Caenorhabditis elegans: one gene and its partner. The protein of the gene in region 2 interacts with the protein of the main gene of each other region in a pairwise test. Each region holds a gene or a part of one and is shown on either strand. Other genes may lie near its edges. The genes, in order: rad-23 and hum-8.

Evidence for each region.
Region 1: the proteins of hum-8 (region 2) and rad-23 interact in a two-hybrid assay, tested with the Caenorhabditis elegans proteins (2 studies listed by BioGRID).

The regions. Positions count from the first base shown.
Region 1 is NC_003280.10:11,650,761-11,655,046, forward strand, and holds rad-23 (UV excision repair protein RAD23), read right to left. Parts: upstream 1,970-4,286; 5' UTR 1,969-1,969; coding exon 1,897-1,968; intron 1,851-1,896; coding exon 1,767-1,850; intron 1,718-1,766; coding exon 914-1,717; intron 860-913; coding exon 848-859; 3' UTR 502-847; downstream 1-501. Other genes in the region: coa-7 (Cytochrome c oxidase assembly factor 7 homolog), read right to left, coding at 1-243, 290-388; rpn-12 (26S proteasome non-ATPase regulatory subunit 8), read left to right, coding at 2,367-2,456, 2,501-2,556, 2,603-2,678, 2,752-3,147, 3,199-3,333; nep-1 (Neprilysin-1), read right to left, coding at 3,713-3,812, 4,136-4,286.
Region 2 is NC_003282.8:437,341-442,374, forward strand, and holds the start of hum-8 (Myosin motor domain-containing protein), read right to left. Parts: upstream 3,215-5,034; 5' UTR 3,205-3,214; coding exon 3,003-3,204; intron 2,385-3,002; coding exon 2,110-2,384; intron 1,746-2,109; coding exon 1,451-1,745; intron 1,397-1,450; coding exon 1,299-1,396; intron 1,256-1,298; coding exon 1,091-1,255; intron 1,018-1,090; coding exon 649-1,017; intron 1-648.

The DNA of each region.
Region 1 (4,286 bases), on a different chromosome or scaffold from region 2:
TAAATATCGACATCCTTGTGGAATATTCGCATCACATGCGATTTTCATCGGTCGAATCATTTTTGACAGACTTGCATCGTCTCCAACTTTTCCGGCTAACATGTACATTCCGTACTTGAAACATGACTTTGGATAACTGTTCTCGTCACAGTTCTTCTTGAAAATCGCTACGGCCGCTTGAAAATTTTGTTGCAGAGCTTCCATGTATTCGCCGAGCAATTGACAGGATTCTGGCCTTTTTTCCTGAAAATTTAACTTCAAAGAAAGATTGAAAATTCAAATTTCTCACTTCGTAGCATCCAAATCTGTACTCAATCCCAATATTTTTCACATATTCCGCCCTTTCGGCCTGTTCCTGCATAGCTTCTTCGCTTATTTTTCCAGACATCTTCAAGTAAAGTGAATTAGCGCATATTCAGAAGAAATGAACGACCGATATTGGAGTACGAAATCGTGATGACTCATTGGGTAAAGTTTGATAAATCGAAACGAAGAATCATTAAAACATTTGACTTTCATTTGAAAATGTTGGATGACAAAAGGGAATTACAATACCGAAATTATGTCACACAAAATTCGCTGAACGCGACGAGAATTTCAACGAAGTGCCTACCAGTAGCGGGTGACAATCAGCACATGGAACTGAATGTGTTATTATCTTAAATATATAGACAAAGGGCAATCGAGAAGGCGATGAATACACATTCTTGGAAGAAGTGTTAATAAAAAAATTAGGCTGATAGGAGCAAGAATATAAGCTTTACGGAAATGGGGGAGAGAGAATAAATTAATTTCTGTTGCAATTTCCAGTGACGGTGATCAGAAGTTATTGGCATGGGTAAGATAATTATTCCTCATCCTGAAATAATTAAAAATTAAACTTCTAATTATCTACGTATGGAAATAAACTCACGAGGTTGCTGAAAATAAAGTTGATAGCGGCTTCCTCGTTTTTGTCACATGCGAAATAAGCCTCCACAACCACAGCTTCTGGTGCATTAACAACTATGGCTTTGATTCTCTCAATAGCAGCAGCTTCTTCGGGACTGAGATGGATAACATGGCGACGTGGGGTGTTTCTTTCTGGCGCATTTCCTGCAGCGGCTCCGGCTCCTTGAGCTCCACCATTCAAAAGATCCATGAAAGCTTGCTGGTTGTTCTGAATAGTCTGAACAAGTCTTGGGTTGACAGCAGCCAACTGCTGAAGGACTGCGGCGAGCATTTCAGGATTTTGTTGAATCAAAGCTCTAATTTCTGCAAGCTGTGGCATGTTTGCAAGCATGTTAAGATCGTCATTGCCATCCTCATCCACGTTATCGATGTTTTGCTCGGGCCCCAAATCTGGTTCTTGGTCAGCAGCATCATCAGGAAGTCCGTTGAGAAGAAACTCGACTGCGCGGTCTGGATTCCAGAATGCTGCGCGCAGAGCAGCGATAGTTTGTTCACGGTCATAGCCCATTCCAGTGATTGCGAGAACGTTCTCTTCTTGCTCATCCGTAAGCGCCTCCGCCTCAGCAGGAGCAGCAGCTTCAGGAGCAACATCGGCAGCTGGGGCTGGGTTTGACGCAGGAGCGGCAGCTACTGGAACAGGCTCAGCAGCTGTGGCAACGGTAGATGAAGGTGCAACTTCTGTGACTTTCCTTTTGCTGAGCATCACAACAACGAACTTCGAAGAATCGAATCCGACTTCTCCGACCTTCACAGAATCGTCGAGAATCTAAAAAAAAAACATACTTTAAAGATATTATGAGCCTTCACTGTAATACCTTTCCGTTGTAGATTAATTTTTGAAGTTCTGGAGCATAATCATCCCCTTTCTCCGAAGCGACCAGAGCCTTTACTTCCGCAATCTGAAAGAAAAATAAAATACAAGTCGAACATTAACTCTAATCTTACCGTCTGATCTTCATTCAATTCCAAATTGAAGTTAACTTGTGTGAGAGTCCTGAATGTAACGGACAAAACCATCCTGCAAAAAATTGTGAAATGTTACGAATAGAGTCATGTATTGAAAGAAAAAGAAATAAATATCGATAACAGATTGATATTAATGCAAAACAAGCAGTATATATGTATAAAATAAACAAACATTTGATTATTAATAAAAGAACAAAACAAAAAAACCATTTTGAAGAACAAAATAAGTGGTAAAAAACAGAAGAGAAAATGGCTTGGCGTCTTAAAGGCGCACATGATTTGAACACTCTTCGTGGCGAGACCTGCCAGAATTGTCATTGTGTCGATTTACGGAGAATGCGTTTATTTCTTTTTTGAATGTTTTATTTTTATTTTTTAACTTCACTTGTGTTTATCGTGAACTTTTATCTTCGATTTTATCAAATTAAAACATTATTGGATTTAAGAAAATGTCTGCCGCCCATAAAAATCTTCTGGCTGTGTGGGCAAAGGAGCCAAAAGATCTTGTCGCAGTTGAGAAGGCTCTGAATGAGTTGACGGTCAGTTAATTGTTTGTCAAATTGTAAATAAATTGAATTTTCAGAAGGTTCTCAGTGCCTCCAGCGATTTGAATGATAAACAGTCTGCATTGGCTTCAAAGTAAGATTTTTCTTTGGTGTAATGAGTTTAAATTATTAATTTTCAGAGATTTGTACGAGATTTCGGTGCTCTTGGCAATTCTGAAGCACGATTTCGAAACGTTCGACGATTACATCAATCAGGTGAGTCTTTAAATAATTATTTGGAAAATTTATGTAATTTTTAACGATCTGTAAATTATTTTTAATTTTCCAGATGCATACCTACTATACAATGGCGCCAGAAAATTCTGAAAACAAGCATTTAATGACTGGACTCCATCTGATGTTCCTGCTCGCTGCCAACAGATTGTCCGACTTCCACATGCTCCTCGAACAAATTCCACAGAAAGAGCAAACATCAAACGCTTACATCTCTACGCCAGTTCGTATTGAACAGAGTCTCATGGAAGGAGCCTACAACAAGGTTGTGCTCACCGAGAAGAATATTCCAAGCCCCTTCTACACTATTTTCATTCGTATTATGCTTGACACCATCCGTCGCGAAATCGCAACATCTATCGAGAAGTCTTTCAAAGTTCTGACAGCGAAGGATGCCACGGTCATGCTTCTGTTCGACAATGACGAACAAATGAAAAAGTTTGGACAAGAGGTAATAATGATTTTTAAAGCTACAAGTATTAAAAAATATATTTATTTACAGAGAAAATGGCATTTGGATGGAGAGCGTTACGTTTTCGAAATTGAGGTGGCTCAGGAGAAGCCTGTGAATTTGGATACAGTGCGAGTCGCAACTCAAACCCTCTTCTACGCCAAGCAACTCGAACAAATCGTTTAACCGGTGTCTTTCAAGAACTCAAGCATTGTATTTGTAAACTGATTTTAATTTATTCGCGTCTTTTTCTCGGTACTGTAAGAAAATGAACTTTCCGATGCATTGTTTTAGCAAGTTTTAATTACATCTGAAAATTTTATTTGCACAAAGATTTCTGGAATGAACAAGAACATCTATCAATATGATATACCAAAAAAAGAAGTTGGAAAAATTCGAGAAAAAATACATAGAGGGACAAAATACAGTGAATTCGAGTGTCTATTGTTTTCAACAATATATACAGCTAGATGAGTAAAAAAAAAGGACGAAAGATTTAGTAGATTCTGAGAGACAGATAGATAAAGCGTGCCAACTTGGTTGACTCCTTTCCCGTATTTTCTGATTACCACACAACACAGCGTTTCGTTGGATTCATCGGAGATCCAGCTGGACATTTGAAAGCCTCGGCAAATTCTGGCTGATTTGTTAGAACCGTGTTCACTCTGAAAAAATTATAAATAATTGTTGCCAAAAAAGTTGAATGAACGATGATGTGTATTGCGTAACATATTTTTGAATATCTTGTAGCGAAAACTACATGTAAATAGTAAATCGTCTACTTATGGAAATAAACTCACGAGGTAAATCTTTAAATGACTACTGTAGTGGTTTCGATTGTTAAACGAAAAATAAATAAATTTCCGAGCCCGTAAATCGACACTACAGTAGCCCTCTAAAAAGTTACTGTAGTTTTCGCTACGAGATATTTTGCGCGTCAAATATGTTATGTAATACGCATTCTCGGAATTTAGTGTTTCAGTAATACCTTGCAGTTTCTGGTGAGTGAGGATCAGTGAGTAGCAATAAAGTCTTGGTCTCTGGCGTCTTGGCTCCACACCAAACTTGAGCATATCCAACGAAGAAGAGCTGCTCATTGGTGAGACTTTCAAATTGTGGAAGACGAGCTTCTTGGCCTC
Region 2 (5,034 bases):
TCTAGAATTACAAAAACAATAAAATAGACTAGAAATCATTTTTTTTTTAAACAACCTCACCGACACCCCAATATAGGGTGTACGGTTAGTGCTGCAGTGAGCATCTTTGAATGCTCCCCCTGTGCTCAGTTCTGATATTTCGCAGCTAAAAACTTACATTGTACTGTTTCTCAGCATGGGATTTCACATGAAACAAGTTTCGCTCAAAAAGCCGCTGGCACCTTCAGACCCTTCCCTAGTTAGTTTTAGATGAAAGTAATTTACATAGGTTAACATATAAATCTTCAAACGCTTTTTCAAATATTTTTCTATGTATTATATTTTAATTAAATAAGGAGTAATGGCTGTGGGTACTATAAAAAATCAGCTCAAAAATGGGCAAATTTTGTTGTTCTAGATTCTTCTTTCTGTGTAAACAAGTAGTTTTAGCAGACATTTTCGAGATGTTCTCAATTTACTTATTGCTGAAATTGAGAATGTCTCGAAAACGGTTTAAAAGAGTAAATAAAGCCCACATTATTCGAAAAGAAATTCATTTCAAAAATCGAGCCCCGTAAATCGACACAAGCGCTACAGTAGTCATTTGAAAAATTTCTGTAGTTTTTCGCTACGAGATATTTTGCGCGTTCCATTTTCTAGGTCGCTCACCTGCATAATCCTTGCACACAATCCCATCTTCAACTCCATCGTTTCGAGACCCAAAAGCCTGGCAGCTTGAATTAAATCCTGCTCACTTCCATTGAAAACTTTACATCCACCTCTTGAATCATCCAAACTTTCCTCGAACTCAACATTTCCCAAGTGAAGAATTGCGGCGATTGTAGTCCAAATGAAATGTATTTCTTGTTCCGATAGTCCAGTTAATTTCAGAGCGTATTCTAACCGCTGAAAATCCGAAAAATCGTCCACCATTGAATCCTGGGTGAACTTGGGGTCCGATAGCCGATTTTTAGGGATTTTTGAAGTTGTACCAGATGAAGGATGAGTGAAGAAACCAATGAATCCACGTTTAAGGTACTACAATTGACAAATCCATTATTGCAGTTGATTGTAATTCATTCGTTTTAAACAAAATTGTATGAAAACCTACATTAAACTGATTAGGTTGACCTAATGCCAAGAATTTGAAAAGTTCCGGTGAACTTCCTGCAATCAGTTGATAGAAAATATGATAATTACGTTCTCCAGCTGCTTGACGACATATTCTCGAAGTTTCCAGAAGATAATGTGAAACATAGCCACCTGCCACGTTTCCCTACAAAAAACCATGTGTTGACCGATTCATCAATGGTACTCACGGTATCCGCAAAATGAATTTGCACAAACTTCCCGAATCTACTCGAGTTATTGTTACGTAACGTTTTAGCATTTCCAAATGCTTCCAAAATTGGATTCGCTGAAAATTTTAAAGGAATAATTTTGATAGTTTTCAACACCAAAAACAACGTACTTTCCAACAATCTCTTCTGAATCTCTCCGGCACCAGAACCCCAATTCTCACATAAATACCTCAAAACTGCTTTCTGTGATTCAGTTTTTCCTGCTCCTGATTCTCCAGACACAATAATCGATTGAGATTTACGATGTCTGATCATTTCTCGATAGGATTTATCGGCAATCGCAAAGATATGCGGCTCCTTCTGTCCAAGAGACTTTCCACGATATTCCTTGATTTTTTGCAAGGAGTAAAATCCATCAATAGTTTGATATGGGTTAATTGATATGAGAATGTTGGCCACGTAGGACTGTAAATTTGAATTTAGTTCAAAGTTTAAAGTTGGCTAAAAGGTGGAGTAGCGCCTGTCAGGAAATTGTTAAAAACCACTCCTATGTTGCCGAAATGCCAAAATATCACGTTAAAACTGAGAAAACATTTTACATTTTTTTATTTTTTTGAGAAAACTATAGCATGTTCGAATCACTGCAATGTTTGAATAAGAACACTTGAAACATAAATAGAGCATAAAATTCGATGGAAATTTATTTAAACTGTTATTTTTTTCAATTTTCAAAAAATCATATGAAAATTAGAATTTTTTTAAAACAATTTTTCTACTATGATATTTGGCCATTGTGGTGAGATAAAAATGTCTATTTAAAAAAACATACATAAATCTTTCCATTTTGATATCTCAATCTAATATTATTCAATAATGTTGCCTCATTCAAATGCATCAGTTGACAATTATCTTCCACGTGTCTTCTTGAGTCATCTTCGCAAGCCAAAACATCTTCAAAAACTCTTGTCACAGTATCACCAGTATTATCCAAAAGGCGAAGTGTGAATCCAGTTGCTGATAAATCAATTATACGGGCGGCACGGAACCCGTCTGTTGCATCTGTTATCCACACTGTTCTTCCATAGTCCGGAGGAGGCTGAGACACTGAAATCATGGAGCGACATTATGGATGGAGGTCTACTGTATTCAGTGTATTCAATGTATTCAATTGATATCTTGCCACGTTTTACTATCAATTGACTAATTATGGAATATTATCCAACAAATATCTACATCATTTTCAATATGCTACTCTTCATTAGCTCAAATATAATGTTGCAAAATATTATTTCAAACTGTAGTTATTATCTCGTTAGAAAAACTGCCACCTACAGTATTCTCAAAAAACAACATTCAGTTAAAAAAAATTAGGTACGATGCAGTTTTTGCATTGATAACTTGATAAAGTTTTTACTCAATTGTGAGGTTTCATTAAAGGTATATTACCGAAATTTTTAAATTTTTAAATGATTCCAAATTTTCCTCTGATTCCAAATTTCTGAAGTAAGTGAAAAAATTCAAAGACCTTTCCCTGATTTCATATTTCAGCTTGAAATCGCGACTTTAATTTGTGCAAGAGTTTTTTCAAACATCGAATTATCGCGAATAATATTTTGTAAGCCTCAAAATGACAAGAGAAGTTGAATAAAAAGTTACGATGTGACCAAGACAAACATTGTGAAAATGAATAAAAAAGTTGAAAACATTGTTTTAAAAACAAACCATTTATTCCAACTTTTTCAGCTCTTCTCTCAGTTTTCTTAGGATCCACAATGTCACGTGGAATTGTTTTCGGCTCAAATGTCCCAATGCCACGTGACTTTTGGGAAGAAGACTGAGCCGATGTTTTCAAAATTTCCGGAGGCGGTTTAGGAGGTTCCGAATTTTCTGTGATTTGATGTTTTTTGTTCAACGTTCGTAGCATTTGTTTTTCTGGAAAAAGTAATTTTTTGTAAGTAAAAAGTTGTCGAAAAAAATTGCAATAAGGACATGATGATGTGAGAATAGGGTGGAAAATTGTGTTCGATGTGTTGACTAACATGTCAAATTTCATGAGAAAATAGTGTGTGATTGGCGAAATCAGACACAAGAGTACACATCAACAGAGGCACCTGCGAGCACCTTCGGTTTCACTGATAAGGAAATTGATAAGACTCACTTTTTGAAAAAAAAAATTGGAATTTAGTTTTTTTGTTGAAATTTTATGGCGAATTTAACATCTTAACCGGGGGTGTGCGGCAGGGGTGTGCGGCAAATCTCAAAATTTGCCGAGCTCGGCAAATTCGGCAAATTCGGCAAATTTGCCGTGCTTAACAAACTCGGATAAATTTGATATTTTTTATGTTTTTTGGAGCACCAAAACTACTGAATTCTTAACACACATCTGGTTTCTGAATAAGTTCCGCGTAGTATGTCTGTTTAAGCATCAAAATAGCTTAATTTTGTGTCATTTTACTAAATTTTTGGCTAAAAAATCAATAGTTTTAGTCAAAATTGTACTGTCAAATTTTTGACGTGTGCGGCAAATTTCGAAATTTGCCGAGCTCGGCAAATTCGGCAAATCTACTTTTTTGAAATTTGCCGTGCTCGGCAAATTCGGCAAATTTGCCGAGCTCGGCAAACGGCAAATTCGGCAAATTCGGCAAATTTGCCGCACACCCCTGGTGTGCGGCAATCTCAAAATTTGCCGTGCTTAACAAAATCCAAAAAATGTGATATTTTTTGCTGTTTTTTGGAGCGCCACAACTACTGAACTCTGAACAAACATTTGGTATCTGAATACCGTATTTCTTCTATTAGTATGACTGCAATGCCATTTTTCGATGGTCTTCCCGCTTGCAATACTAATAGGGAGTGCAATACTAATTTTCAGAACATTTTTTTTGACTTTGAGCTTACTAGTTTTTTCTGAATAAACTCGAATCTTATGTAAAAATTCAGAAAATATGATTTTAATTGTAACATATAAGCTTAAAAATTTCAATCTCAAAAAAATTTCAATTTCAAAAATTTCAATGTTGTGAGAAACTGTTGCAAAATAGGCAAAAAATGTTGTTGAAATCCTCAAATTGGCGAGACGGGTTTGCAATAAAAAAGTAAACGCAAGACTATTAGGGAGTGTAATACTAATTTTCGGAGGGTCTCCGAGGGGTAATACTAATAGGGAGTGCAAGTCTAATAGGGAGACCATACTAATAGAGGAAATACGGTAAGTTCTGTGTCGTGTATCTGTTTAAACATCGAAATAACTTAATTTTGTGTCCTTTTACTACAGTTTTGGGGACGAAATCAATAGTTTCGGTCAAAACTGCAATGTTAAATTTTTGATATGTGCGGCAAATTTCGAAATTTGCTGCTCGGCAAATTCGGCAAATCTTCTTTTTTGAAATTTTCCGTGTTCGGCAAACGGCAAATTCGGCAAATTTGTCGCCCACCGCTGACCTCTCCAGAAGTGTGCGGCAATCTCAAAATTTGCCGAGCTTGGCGAATTCGGCAAGTTCGGCAAATTTGCCGTGCTTAAAAGTGGTGTAGTCTAACTTTTTAAAAATTACTTTATGAGACTAAAAATTGTCTGAAAACGCTGAATTTCATACTGACCCTTCTGTAAAACTTCTCAAAAAAAGTTATGGTCAAAAAAAAGTTAAAAAGTTATAATTTACAAAATCTCTTCGTCCATCGACTTTAAAATACTCAAGTCGAGTTGAAAACGCAAGATTTGAATTAACTGGTATAGCCAGTTGGCCAAATTTACAGT